Linked DNA regions of Caenorhabditis elegans. The protein of the gene in region 1 purifies or fractionates together with the protein of each later gene. This does not show direct contact. Each region holds a gene or a part of one and is shown on either strand. Other genes may lie near its edges.

The links.
Region 2: the proteins of got-2.1 (region 1) and far-5 fractionate together in Caenorhabditis elegans (co-fractionation; one large-scale study listed by BioGRID). This does not show direct contact.

What each region holds. Positions count from the first base shown.
Region 1 is NC_003279.8:4,635,050-4,643,704, forward strand, and holds got-2.1 (Aspartate aminotransferase), read right to left. Parts: upstream 5,834-8,655; 5' UTR 5,824-5,833; coding exon 5,641-5,823; intron 4,803-5,640; coding exon 4,510-4,802; intron 4,088-4,509; coding exon 3,931-4,087; intron 3,392-3,930; coding exon 3,039-3,391; intron 2,922-3,038; exon of another isoform or gene 2,784-2,921; intron 2,760-2,783; coding exon 2,486-2,759; 3' UTR 2,383-2,485; downstream 1-2,382. Other genes in the region: ssb-1 (Lupus La protein), read left to right, coding at 1-353; acbp-1 (Acyl-CoA-binding protein homolog 1), read right to left, coding at 766-1,014, 1,281-1,292; Y119C1A.1 (RanBP2-type domain-containing protein), read right to left, coding at 6,358-6,548, 6,967-7,200, 7,415-7,651, 7,975-8,203.
Region 2 is NC_003283.11:12,993,263-12,999,803, reverse strand, and holds far-5 (Fatty-acid and retinol-binding protein 1), read right to left. Parts: upstream 4,236-6,541; 5' UTR 4,182-4,235; coding exon 3,775-4,181; intron 3,162-3,774; coding exon 3,038-3,161; 3' UTR 2,968-3,037; downstream 1-2,967. Other genes in the region: far-4 (DUF148 domain-containing protein), read left to right, coding at 155-573, 1,095-1,293; far-3 (Fatty-acid and retinol-binding protein 1), read left to right, coding at 2,292-2,719, 2,783-2,924; dsl-7 (Delta-like protein), read right to left, coding at 5,182-5,755, 5,811-6,178.

The DNA.
Region 1 (8,655 bases):
CGCAGAAGGCCTGGGACAACGCTGTTGCAGCTGGAACTGATGGAAAAGTCATTCTTCAAGAGGCTGAGCTCTCCGCACGAGTTTTGGATGGAGAAGAGGAGGAGAAATACTGGACAGAGTTCAATGCCAGAAAGAATCAGAGGCAAGGAGGTGGACGTGGAGGACGCGGTGGTCGTGGCGGACGAGGAGGCCGCGGTGGTCGTGGAGGTCGTGGTGGAAGAGGTGGACGCGGAGACCGCCGAGGTGATAAGCGGTCAGCAAACGATGAAGGTGCAGATGGATCTGATGAGCCAAAGGCTAAGCGTACTGTGTTCGCTGAGGATGGTGCTCCAGCTGCTGCTGCCGCCGAGTAATTTCATCTTTTGTTGAACAAACCCAAAAATCTCATTCTTTTTTTTTTACTTTTTCCTCCATTTTTTGTTGTTATCATTATTGTTGTGTTGTCCCCCCATTCATTAATCTTGAATACCCTCATTTTGTTGACTTCTCACTCTTTTTAACATCTCTTTTACTGTATTATTACCAATTTAAAAGAGTTGCGGTTTTGATTTATAAATTATTCGGATAAACCAAAGTTTTAGAGTAGCAGACCGGAAAAAAAGAAATTGCAGATCACTCGGAACAGGGAACATGGAAAATGCATTCTTCTGAAAGTTCAAGTTTGCTGATCAAATAGGCAACTTTATGTCTAAATTCTTCGGAATCACAGAATCTTCATTACAAAAATATAAATGTTAAAAAAACGTATTATCAAACAGAATTTATTTAGGCTCCGTACTTGGCGATGAGCTCCTCAACAAGAGCAACATAGGCCTTCTGAGCATCATCCTTTGCGAGTCCCTTCTTCTCATCCCAGGCAGACCACTTGGCTTTTCCCTTCAAATCGAACATTCCTGGCTTATCGGTGGTGTTGTCGCCGACGGTTCCTTGTTTGAACAGAGCATAGAGCTTGAGAAGCTCATCATTCGATGGGGAAGTCTTGAGGGTCTTAACGGTGGCAGCAGCGTCGTCGAACTGAAAATTGAAAAGACTTAGTGAGATTTTATTGGGAAAATATCAACATTTTGCTTCAAAAAATCTAAAGTAGTCTCAAATTCAGAAAAAAATCGCCAAATTATAAAAATGTCTCTTTTTCAATTTTGACTAAGTTCCCTCCGCTATTTTGAAGGGAATTTGCCAACATTGAAAAATCACGGTTTTACAATTATTGCTTTCTGTTGTTGTCATTATTCTGAATTTGAGATTATTTTGGATTTTCTACATCGGAATTTGAAGCTTACCGAGAGGGTCATTTTGAAGACGATGAGAAGAGCTTGTTGAAAGTTTGAACCTGAAAATTAAGAGATTTTAAAATAATGAAACATGAAAAATAATGATGAAAGGGCACTTTGTATATTGTATTTATCTTGACGTACACAACCACGCACTAGAAGTATACAGTCAGAAAAACGGACACTCTTATCATTTGTTATCACTAAAAAATCGTATCAATTTTTTGAGAATACAACAACGTTTCGTGGTCAATATCAAACTATGTGATCACACCATCACAGAAGAAGGACAAAATATGAAAATGTTTAGAAAAAAGAAAGAAATTTTGGCAATTTTCAGTTCTTTTCTTGAAAAAAATTATTAACTTTTGATAAGACACCGATGGTTTTAGCAAAAGCGTTATTACCTAATCGCCAGCAATTGTTAATTTAAAAATACGGTGCCGGGTCTCGAAGCGACTGAAACTTCACAGCTACAGTACTCGCATGTTCAACAACTGCATAGTTTTTGCAATTAAGTGAAGCTGGTGGGTACTGTAGCTGCAAGGTTTCGATCGTGCCAAGACCAGGTGTCGTGTTGTTGCGTCGAAACTCGCAAAATTCTGCAATTGAGTAATAGGAAAAAGTTCGTTTTTTTTTTTGGGCAAAGAAGGATTTTTTTTTGGTTTTTCGATCTTAAAAACTCTTTAAAAAATTTCAATTTTTGGTCGGAAGGAAGAAAAATTAGATTTTTAAAAATATTTTTTAGTTTTAATAGTTTTTTGGTGAAACTCTTGATCGGGAGCCCTAAAAACAACAATTTTTGATATAAATAATGGAAAAATGGAGGAAGTTGAAATTTTCTCATTGAATGAGCTCCGTATCTTATTAAAAACGGATAAAGGCCACAATTTTTAGACTTTCTCAATTTTGTTGGAAATAGAAATTTGACTACAAAACTATAAAAACTCCAAGTTTCACCCACCAATAATAAAATTGATTTAAAGCCTAAAAATAAAAAAACAGATTGAAATTAAAAAAAAAAAGACAAACAAACAAAGGAAGAAAAACATCAAAGATAAGATAATGGGAATGTGAACCCAAAAGAAGAAAGAAAAAATGTTGACGAAAAAAGAAAATCCAAAAACCATTTTATAGACTTTTTAAAAAAGCAAAACCTGAATTTCAATAAAACCGGAAAGAAACTTAGACACGTAGAGAACTTAGAGAAATCATTACTTGGTGACGTCATGGAGAGCTTTAGCCAAATATGCAACATTTCCAGTATTAATACCAGAAATAGAAATACGTCCATCATTTGTCAAGTACACTGAGTGCTCTTTGATGAGCTTTTGAACTTGTTTCTCATTGATTCCAGTGAAACAAAACATTCCAATTTGATTGGTAATATGATCCCAGTTGAGAGTAGATCCTTCAGCTTTCAGGCCGTCTTTTAGAGCCGTACGCATTGATTTGATACGGTCAGCCATTAGTTTCACATCTTCCAGCCTGAAATAATCATTTTTATAGATTTCGTTTTTCCAATATTTCAAAAATAAAAAAGATCCATTTTTTTGAAAAATAGCTAATTTGCCCATTATTTAAATATTTTTAAAAGCAAATTTTCGGCAACTACAGTACTCTTTAAAGGCACACACTCTTTGGAATTTTAGAAAATCAGTCGCTTAGAAACCGGTTTTTCGCAAATCTCATTTTTTTTGGTCCAAAATTATTTTTTTCAGTTTCTGATCTTTAAATTTCTGACTTCACAAACTCAGAAACTCCTACCAAGATTTCTTCAACTCTGGATTACTCAAAATCCGTGAAGCAATTCTTGCTCCATGAAGTGGTGGCATTGAGATCATTGGACGAATGATAATTCTCATTTGAGATCCAACACGAATCGCTTCTTCAGCAGAATCACAAACAATCGAAAATGCACCAACACGTTCTCCGTACAATCCCATATTTTTTGCAAATGATTGAGCAACGAGAACATTGTGTCCTTGTTCTATGAAATGACGAAGAGCAAATGCGTCATCGTCAACGTCTCCTGATGCAAATCCTTGATAAGCCATATCGAAGAATGGAAGAATTTTTCGTTCTTTCAGCACTTGGCTCAGCTTTTTCCATTGCTCCTTCTGAAAATTCAATGAGTTTTGAAAAGTTTTATTGAGTCTTCAATTTAAAAACTATTATTTTTGTTTTAAGTTAGTTATCTTCACAATATCTACAGTGCAAAATAAAATATTAGGTGAGATTACGGTATCTCGTCACAAAATAAGTTTTTTAGCACTCGAAATTTCGCGCTAAAAATACGGTACTTGGTCTTGACACGAAATTTTTTTTTGTTAAATGCGAAAAGGTATGCGTCTTTGGATAGTACTGTAATTTTAAACTTTCGTTCGCATTTTAATGAATTTTTAATACTTTTTCTGAAGATTTGTTAAGCATTTAGTGCTTCTATTTTTTGTTCGCTTTTTTCAATAAATACATTTTTTTTAATGGCAAAAAAGAAAAATATTTGAAAATTCCAAAGCGACTAAAGTTTGAGATTACAGTACTCTTTAAAAGCGCACATCTTTTCGCATGTAACAAAACGAATCTCGTGGCGAGACCGGGTACCGTATTTTTGGCCCGAAATAATAACAAAACAAAACATCACAACAAAGCAACATACAGTAGGATCAACACCAGTTGGGTTATGTGCACAAGCATGCAAAAGTATAACAGATCCTTCTGGCATCTTTGAAATATCTTCGAGAGCTCCTTCAACATCAAATCCAAGAGTTTCTTGATTGTAGTAACGGTATGGTTGAATCGAAAGACCAGAATTTCTGAATAGAGGAGGTGAGGGTGAGAAGTGGACAACAAGCAACAGAAACAGAAATTAACAGGGGAAAAAATACAACAAGTGCATGGAAATTTTGATTTTTTGCTTTACGGAAAATCAAAAAATCGAAAAGTATGGTTCTTCGATTTTCTCTTCAAAAAAACCCGATTTTTTTCCTCGATAAGAGTGTAGCTTCTTTGGAAAATCTAAAAACAAAAAAAAACATTTTTTTCGAAAACTATTTAGCTACAAGTTTTTAAAATTAAAAGCTGCAAATTCTTGTTAATTTTCAATTTTTTTTCGATTTTTTGTTTTCCCGAAAATCGAAAAATTTTCGTTTTTCGACTTTTCGATTAAAAAAAATAGATTTAAATTTTTAAAAAATATGATTTCCGAAAAATAAAAATAAAATTTTAAAAAATTTACCTAAAAACTGGCAAATGATTAGCCCAAGTTGGTGTTGGATAAAACAAAGTCTTGGATGGAATAAACTTTTCCACAAATTGTCCTCCAATTCTCAAAGCACCAGTTCCGGATATCGATTGAGTTGTGAAGACTCTTCCATCGCGAATCACTTCGGAATTGTCGCCGAAAGCGAGTTTCGCAGCCAATGGCGCAAATTCTGGAACTCCAGTGATTGTTGAGTACTCTTTGTCCATTTTAGCATCTATAATTTGCTGCTCAGCTTCGCGGACCGCTCGGAGCACGAATGGTTTTCCCTGAAAATAGAAAATTACAATAATTTGAATATTAAATCGAGGGTGAGACGGCAATCAAAAATTTTTGGACATCGACATGAATCGAGTTCAAAAATTTTGAAAAAAAAAACTCAAAAAATTTTGCAAAAAACTAATTTTCACTGTAGTAAGTGTTTTTGGTGAAGAAATATAATTTTTCCAACTTATTTTCATCAGGGCTGTGACACTTTTGGTATTTTATTTGGTTTATTTGGTTAATCGACGAAAAATTGATTTTTTGGTGTTTTAGAACTAAAAAACCAAAAATTGTTCACTTTTTAACGGTTTAAAAAAAATTAATTCAAGCATCATTTTTTTTTGGGTTTTCGCAAATTTTAATTTTTTTTTCTTGGTCCCAGACCCTAATTCTCATGATGAAAATTGGATTTTTGGCAGAATTTTCCAAAATTCCGCAACCGACACTTTCGACAATTGCCGAGTTTTAAAATTTTCGACAATTAGCCATTATTGCCGCGGCCATTTTTTTGGGTTTTTTGTTAGAATATTAACGAAAATCGTATTTTAACACCAAAAAATTCAAAAAACTAACTTTTTTCACTTTAACCACTTTTTTTTTGTGAAAAATAGAAAAATGTGGGTTTTTTTAGGTCTTTAATAATTTTTTCGAATACTATTCATATTTAATAAATATTTTTCTTTTTAATGCTTTTTTGGTTTTATCACCGGTTTCAATTAATTTTTGGTCCGAAATTACAATTTATTTAATTATTTAATTGCAGCCCTGAAATTCCGGCCACTCGTTTCAAAACTTTTTTTTTTTTAATTCTAGAATAAAAAATTCTGAGCATTTCCCCCTTACCTGATCATCACGATATGCTCCAACTCCTAAATTAATCTTATTCGGATTCGTATCCTTCTTGAATGCTTCAGTAACTCCTAGAATTGGATCAGCAGGCGCTAGCGGCACATTTCTGAACCACGGGAGCACTGGTTGAGCAGTTACAGTAGTCGTTGACATGAACCTTCTGAAGAATGCCAGCATTTTCTGTGTGCTGACAATTTTAATTTAAAATCAATAGAAAATGGAAACAAAATGATAGATATTAGAATATGAAGCTGCCACGGAGCTTACAAGGAAGTCGTGAAAAAAATCAGAAAAAATAAATAAAATTCAAAAATCGAGGATTTCATTGAAAAATAAGAAAAGTTTGAACACAAAATCAAGAAAAATCAAGAAAAAATATATATACAATAAAAACACAACCTTCGGTTAAAAACTATTATTACATTAGAACATGATTCGATATTGACCTTTGCATTTTTTTAAGGTTACAGGCGGAATAATGGGTTTTTTTGTAAAATTTGACAGAATATAGTCTGAAGACACAGAATATAACGGTAAAAAATTTATAGAATTTTCCTAAATTTATTATGATTTTTTTTCAATTTTTCCAAAAAATTTTTGGATTTTTTTAAAACAGTTATAATTGTAATTGTTAGACTTTTCCTGTCATTTTAGAGCGAAAAAATCCGAATTTCCGAAGCAAAATGACTGTTCGATCAATATCGAAGCTGTTTAGGCAGTGGAATTAGCTGTGGAACAATACTCACAACCACAAAAATCAATTTCCGATGGATCAAATCGACGACTGGGGAGCTGACAATGATGACAGCGATACGAATTGGAGTTATTCTCTCTGGAACAACGATCACAAATCCATGGACCCGTACTGTTCTCCTGACTGATTGAACGAGGTGGTGGCGGTCCTGAAACAGGAATTGGAAATTTAGGTCGATTGCTAGACAATGGTATTTCGGAGATTTTACAAAAAGATTGGCAGCAGGCGACAATTTTTTTTGGAAATTCTAAAAATGGCCTATCACGTTTTTCATTGAAAATTGGTGTGAAAATATAGAAAATCACTTAATTTATCAGAAAATAATAATCTTTTCAACTGAAATATTGGAGAAAGTGCTCGGGATTGGCAACTTTCAGGTAGTTTTTGAGCACTTTCTCCAATATTTCAGTTGAAAAGATTTTTATTTTCTGGTAAATCAAGTGATTTTTTATATTTTGAGACTATTTTTCAATGAAAAATGTTGAAAGAACATGGTGCAAAAGAACATAGGTCATTTCGTAGAATTCCCAAAAAATAATGAGCTTTCATCCATGATTAGCACTCACTTGGAGGTGGAACTCCTTTTGCACTTTTTGCTCTCAACCTTTTTAATTTTTCTTCCAATTTTCGAACAGTTCTCTCCAATTCTTCTTCATTCGTCGCGGCATCGTTAACCAGTGTATGTGGATATTTTGCATCAAACCATTTTTTGAGCTCAGTGACGTCATTTGTGATTAGATTTAGTGATGTCACCTCGTTGATTACCCGTTGTTTTCCTTGCTCCAGTTTAGCCGATTGAGCTGAAAAAAATAAATTGAGAACAGATTTGTCGTTTTTTTAGTTTTCGGCTTTGCTCCCAAAAAATACCCAAACACACGGACGAAATGAATTACGAAACATTTTATACACTATTTTTTTTTCGATTTTTTCTCATAAAACTTGATGGAAGAATCTACGAAAAAAAACTATATTCGTGTCGAGACCAGGTCCTGAGAATCATTTTTATATTTCTACCTTTCCGGAGCTCAATAATTTCATGTTGATCTGGTATCAAATAGTCTCTTTCATCGTGATTATCATCGTGATGAACGGCTAAATGATCGAATCCACTACCAGCCGTCTCATTTCCAGATCCAGTATCAAGGCTTAGAGGAGCAAATGATGGAGTTTGTGAAGCTGAAGATGATGAGGCAGTAGATGATGGATACGGAGGTAGAGCTGCTGCATTTAGAGCCCAACCATATGGTGGATCTGCAAAAATTATATTATTTATATACAATAAAAGAGGATAATCGTTTGTTTATGGTTGAAAAGAAGAAGAAGACAAGTTTATCTAGATTATCCTTTGTTGTTTTTTATATTATTTAGAGAAACGGGAAATTCAAAAGAGCAGTTGACAGTATATTCAGTCATCTGCATTTTTTCTGATAGACTCTAAATAATTTACAAAATAGCTGTTAGAAAGTGAATTTGTATTTATAAAAAGGTTGCTGGATCTTCGAAAATGCTTGAATTTGATTTTTGTAAGCTTTCCGAAGGGATTCGGTTTTTTATGAAAAAAAATCAATTCTCACTTGGTATTTGCTGCTGATGTTGTGGATATGAGAACTGTGGAAACCCGGTTCCAAATCCAGGATGAACCGGAGGATACGGAGGATTCAGAAGCACTGGTTGATGAGGCATTTGTGGATCGGTAGTACTACTTGAACTAGTACTTTGAGCAGAATTGGTCTGTTGAGCAGAAGGAACAAAGGTCGATTGAGGCTTCTCACTGTGGAAAATTCGTTTACTTATCCGTTCGACCTGGAATTAACAATTTTCGAACTAATTCGAAAGTTATTCCGAGAAATTTAGTGGAAAAATCAAAAATGAATCAATACTTCCAAGAAAAAAGGTGAAAAGTGTGTGTGTTGGGAAGAACAATGATTAAATGTATCGAGAATGAGTGATAATGGAGGGCTTGCCCTCCCGAGAGGGTGCGAGTCGACCCGTTTTTGATAATGATACGTTCGAATGTCCATTATTTTACTTTTTTCTTTATTGATTGATTTGACATTTCTTGGAGCCAATCTTGTATCAGAAGCAGGGGTGCGCGGAAATTGCCGGCCGGAAATGCTACAAAATGAAACGGTTGGGCATGTTCCCCCGATATGTTTCATTAAACTTTAATGATAAAATATAGAAAAATATTCGCTTTATTCGAAAATAACTGTTGCTTTAGTAGAAAAAATTGGAAAAATCTTGAAAAATAATCT
Region 2 (6,541 bases), on another chromosome or scaffold:
CCAGACCGAGAAAAAAACATAAAAACTATCCCAATCACAAATTTGCAAAGTTTTTCGGCAAAGAAATTAGTGACGCTGCGAGTTTCACTCAAAGTCACAAAATTGAAATCGAATAAAAGAGGATTGGAAAAAATAAAATACTTCAGTTACCATAATGAGTAAATTACTTCTACTTGTACTTTCTCTTCTCTTTTTTATTACATCAGCTTTTCCATTCGGAGAACCACAAGCGGGAGGATTTCAAAAATTTAAGAACTTACTTCCAAGGGAGCTTGTGGAGGCCTACAGTAACCTGAGTCAAAAAGATCAACCTGATCTGAAAGATGTATTCCGTAATCATCAAAACTACCGAAATGAACAAGAAATGGTTAATGCTTTGAAAATGAAAAATCCAGCACTCGGAGCCCGAATGGAACGGAGATTGATGGCTTTGAAGCAGAAAATCGATGGATTGAGTAGCGAAGAAGCGAAAGGATTTATTCAGAATTTGATTTCAACTGGAAGACAAATTTATGCTCAACGGCTTAATGGACAACAAATGGATCAGTCACAATTGAGACAAGTTGGAATGGGGTATGATTATTTACATTCAGTAGAAAAATATTGTTTCTCTGTCTAAACAGTAAGACAGTTTCTTACCGAGTAAGGCATTTTTATCAGCTTAAAAATCAAATGGTAATTCTACGAGGCATTGCAATAGCCTACCTACCTTCTACTTATTTCACTGCGAAGTTATTGTTGTCTGTACTTATGAGATTTAAGATCTTCTCGATAATTTCCTTATTTAGAGTAATATGTTGACCCTTCATGTTTTCCTGGATAGGCCAGACAGGGGAACGTAGCTTTGGAGACTGGTAGAAAATTTTGTGTATGCGCTGAAAGTTTAGTCCAAATTGTATAAAGCTCTTCAATTGACTTTAATGTCGGCAAAGTCCGTGATTCTGATATCTGCTGAAAGTTATGTGTTTCAACGAAAAATCCAAACTTTCATATGAGTGATAGTTTTCATCTTATTGTTTTCCAGCTTAACAACGTATGTATTACAACAATTGTGTTCAATTCACTAATTCCAAATCCCAAGTTTAAATATTCAGAATTGCAATGCACTATCGATCATTACCTCCATATGCACAACAGGAACTTCAAAGTACTTTTCCACAAATCTTCCAATTCATGAGACAAATGCGTGAACAACGTCTTCGAAGCATGATGGGCGGATTCTTTGGCGGCGGAGGTGGAATCGGAATGGGACAAGGCATGGGACAAGGCATGGGAATGGGTATGGGAAAATAAGTGAATTAATAATCTTATTGTGATAAGTATGTACATATTTTATACTGCATGTTGTTGTATTATTTTTAAATAAAACATTTCCATAAACCACAACAACATCTAAATTTGTTCACCTCTAAAGGAAAACGAAGATCGTTCTATCAGGCTGTCAAAAGATCAACCAACATTTTTTTAATTGTGTAGCCTGCTGTCCAAATTGAGAGATTGCTGTTTTCCAAGAAATTAATATTTTCCAGACAGTCGGAAGATGAATTGATCTTATAGATTTCAGAAGATCGTGACAAATTTAGGAAAAGTGAAGCTGCAGTTGAATTAATCATAACTGCTGAAAAAAGGTCATAAAACTAGGATCACCTATTTCCAACTACCTCGGCTCTCTCAACTGTGAATTTTGTAACAAATTTTCAGCTAAAACGGATTCCAAATGTGTTCATCTAGATTATAATCTGAAAATATACTGAATGGTGTAACTTTAGAGAATATAAATGTTTTGCAGCGTCGGGTTATGACATCGGGTTAACAGAACGATCATATTCCAAAACTTCATATAAAAATCCACATTGAGACACCAAAAATAAGTAAACATCACTTGTTTACCTTTCACATCATTAAAGTTGTAGTTACTGTGATAAAAGTTTCTTCAAACTCTAAAGATTGTTTTTCCTATGAAACAGAAGATGAATAGCATCCAAGGTTACACTCAAAAACATAAACAAATAGATTTTCTAACCTCGTCTTGATGATCTCTTATGCTAAACACCACAACAACAACGCCGTCTGATTGTCCTTGATAATCGAACGAATCATCTGAAGACCAACATAGGTTTGCAAGGAACAATGTCCAGACCACACGGAGGCTACAACAGTTATGGCGCCTTCTCCACGAATTGACATCATCTTTGGCGAAAATAGTATGGAAGAATTGAACCGCCCATTTAACAAATCACAAAATTTTAGTATAAATAGACATGAATTCGAATTAAAGAGCAACATCAACAATGTCTCGTCTTTTCGCTTTCAACGTTTTCTGCTTGGTTCTTCTCCGTTTCTCAGCTGCTGCTCCAGCTGATGATTCTTCTCCATTCTCTCAAATTTTGAAGCAACACAAAGATCTCCTTCCATCCGAAGTTGTTCAAGCCTATCAGGATTTGTCTCCAGAAGAGAAGGCTGCATTGAAGGATGTATTCAAGAACTACAAGAGCTACAAAAACGAAGGAGAATTGATTGCTGCTCTCAAAGAAAAGTCTTCAAGCTTGGGAGAAAAGGCTGAGAAGCTTCAAGCTAAGCTCCAAAAGAAGGTTGATGCATTGAGCCCAAAACCAAAGGATTTTGTTAACGAGCTCATTGCTGGAGGACGTGGTCTTTATGCTCGTTCTGTTAATGGAGAGAAGATCTCAGTTTCCGAGATCAAGCTTCTCATTGAAACGTAGGTTTTATCGAAGAAATTTGTGTATTAATAAAAATATATTTATCATCCTCGGTATTTCAGCCAAGTTGCTGCATACAAGGCATTGCCAGCTGAGGCTCAAGACGAGTTGAAGAAAAATTTCGGAGGAGTCGCCAAGTTTTTGGAGGATGACAAGACTCAAACACTCATTGCCAAGCTTCTTGAGAAGAACAATAACCAGTAAATAAAATTACTAATGTCACAAAATTGTATCTATAGACCGTAATAAATTTGAGGATTTTTTTATTATTATGAAACCCAAAACATAAACCACAGTATTTATTCATTGCTATCATATCACAACAATTTATCAATCTCAGTCTTGATCTTGTCGTTTGAAGCGAATTTGTAGAGACCGAGGAATGTTTTTTCAAGTTCTTCCTTTGTAGCATCCGATAGTGATTTGAACGAAGTAAATTGTCTGAAATTTTGCATATGTTAGAGGGGGCACATTTTATTTGTTGAATATATCTATTCTACAAATATGTGTGTTTTGTTATTAACATTATAAATTTAAAGATGGAATTGCTTCAACAAAAATTTTTTCCAAATATCATATAATGATTCAAAATGGCAAGAAAACTCTTAAATTTTTTAGATGCAGAGCATTTCCAAATTTACGAAAGGTTTTTAAAGAAACTTAGAGCAATTTCATATGTTCAAACCACTCCCGTGTTAAAAGCCATACAATTGAATTTAAAAAAGTATAAAATTCGTACTATTAGGAAAAAACCTTTTTTTGGCTGACATTTCAAATTTTTAACTGCAAAAACATAGTAATTTTTGAAAAGTTTAGCACTATAGATGTAGTTTGAAAAATCTTCTCCATTGTTGCTACTCGATATTTACCAACATTTCAAAGTCTCTGAATAAATTTTTAAATTCACAAAAACTTTAAGAGTGTACAAAATAGTATTTTCAAACTTTATAGAATTTGCAAAGAAGCTGTGAATTTAAATATTTTTAAACTCAAAAAAAAACAGTTTCTACATTTTTCATTGTCATCAAAGTTGGTGGAAAACGAATTAACTTACTTTGCAAATACAGGTAGGACTTCTTTAGAATCTAATGGAATTCCAACAATTTGTGCAGTATAAATTGCTCTGCCAATTCCTAACATTTCAGTTACAAATTTCTTTGTTTCCGGTGTTAATGCCTGAATTTCAGCGTCAATTTCAATGTAAAGTTTCTCGAAAAACGATCCAAGTGATTCCGATTTCTTCTTGATTGCAACAATCAGATCAGCAATACTTGTAAATTTATCATAATTCATGAATACTTCTTTCATAATAGCACTTTCCCCTGGACTCAAATTATCAAAAGCCGCAACAACTTTTGGTGGAAGAGCATCTTTATAGCTCTCAATAACAGCTTCAAATATTCCATCAGCAGCAAATGAGAAATGAAAAATTAATAAAATAGCAAAGAAACGGAGTAACATCTTGATACTGACCAGACGAATCAATACTTTAAAACAATTGAAGATGTTGAATGTAGGGCGGTTGTTGTGTTTTATGACTGTTTATCGAAAGACAAAAGGTCACTCAGTCATCAATACTTCCTTTTTTGTCACTTGGATTTATGTTTTATCAATTTATATGTTTCCCTTACAAATTGTATTTATCACAGATTTTCCTGATATGCTACAACTTGTTAAACTTTATTCAGTTTCTGAAATAAGTAGCACCGTTCTGCCGGTTATTTAAAAAACCAAACAAAAATTATTTACTTAAAAACCGGATTTATGAAACATTCAAATGTGGTTTAGTGTTCAATGTTCTTGCTATTTGAAATACAAAGCAAACCAAATGATTTTATATTTAATGGTAAAATAAAGAGAAAAATACACTAAAAACTGTAATATAGATTTCAACAGAGCCGCACGTCAAGTCAAATTAATTAGCTGGTTTTTAGAAACTTATTGAATGTTCTCGTATAAATTTTATCAAAATGATATTGGAAGGGATTTATTTGAAAATTGAAACAGAAAGGAAGTCTTCATTGAAAATTATTACTTTATTCTGCCTTCGCAAAGTTTCGTAAAAGATTTTTCCATCTTAATCTCAAAAAAAGTCTCCATAAATAACCTGACCCGTATATTTGTTTTTGTCACATTGAAATCAAGAAGATACATTTGAAGAAGGTGGACAAAGCCAAGTCGCAACACCTTTTTCGTGTTTGACAAGCTCCCGAGCAACTGTATGCGGTTCTACTTGACCGAAATATCCACTCACGAACATTCATTTTTGATACTTTATTAGCTATTGATTTGAAAAAACTATACAAATAATTATCAATAAAAACCATGTTAAATAAAAGAAAAACTGGAAGGAAGAAGAATACACGTGTGGGAGATGCTTCAAAGTAAACGAAAAAGTATAATATTTTAGAAATTACATTAAAAAAAACCTCACAGAATTTTCAGTTTTTAAAACCCTATATTACGACTGTGAATTTAGTCTAACAGGTCGCCCCTTTGGGAAATATGGTGTGGATATTGGTTTAGTTGGATGAAATGAAAGAGTTACTGGATCAAATATAATTGTGTTTTTCTGCTTCTTAGGTGCTCGAAGAGCTTTTCCATTTAGTGCACCTTGTTGCAAAACATGAAAAGACGGTGCGACATGTTTTGAATAAATATCCATTTTATCATCGTACAATTGATTTTTAACGGAAACATTTGCCAAATCATGGAATCGAGCAGTTGATTCAAAAAGGCGAGTTGAGATTTTCGGCTCAAAAATTTTCATTTGTTTCTCACAAGCAGCTCCTTCAAATCCATTCAGACACTCACAGATTGGAAAATCTGCGGTTAATTTCGAATCAAACGAATTCACACATTTTCCGCCATTCATGCATTTACAGATTCCACTATCAATTGGAAGTTCAATATCACATTTTGATCCACGGACTCCAATTGGACAACCAATATTTCCAAGGATATTACATCTTCGACCCATTGATCTTGCTTGCTCCTCATCACAGAAATGTTCACAGTGGGCTCCGAAATAGTTTCTAAGAAAATTATAATTAAGTTTTGAAAAATCACTATAAATTTCTATTTACTTACGTATCACATTTTATATCGATTCGAAATCCACTGAATGGAAGTCCAGCTTTTGGAGGCACTATTGACATTTTTCGAGTGGAAAATATTTTTGGACTAACTACAAAATCGGTTAATCCAATTTCCTTCACAGGACCGCTTCTTATTATGATACTTGCAGGTTGATCGAATTCAATTGGAACATTTGTTATAGCCAATTCATAATATGGAGAGAGTGGAACTTTATAGAAACTTTTTTCAGATCCAATTGCTAGCTCTACAGAAACATTGAGAACTCGAACATAAGGACTTGTCAGTCGAAGTTCCAAATAACCAGTACATTGAATCAAAGGAATAAAAGTATACAACAGTAAAGACCATAAAGTCAGCATATTTTGACCGGTGGCTTCTAGCGTAAAGTGAGCACTCTGCGAGGGGACAGGCTCTTTTGTGAGCCGAGAGGAAAAGTGCTCATCGCCATATAGGTGTGACCACCTTGCGGTTTGTGTACCTACTGTATAGTATATATAGATGAAATAAGATACACAGTTATTTGGAACTGGGAGTGTTTTCAAATGTTTTGGTTTAAAAAAATCAGCTCAACTATTGAAAAAAATGCCAAAAGGCGATGATATGCTACAAAAAACTAGCATACAAGCAATTCCATGTTAGAAAGTGGAACTGAGTACTTAATAGTTTCAGTTAAAATTTATTAGATTAAATCTTTTACAATTATATAACTACTCAATTACAAT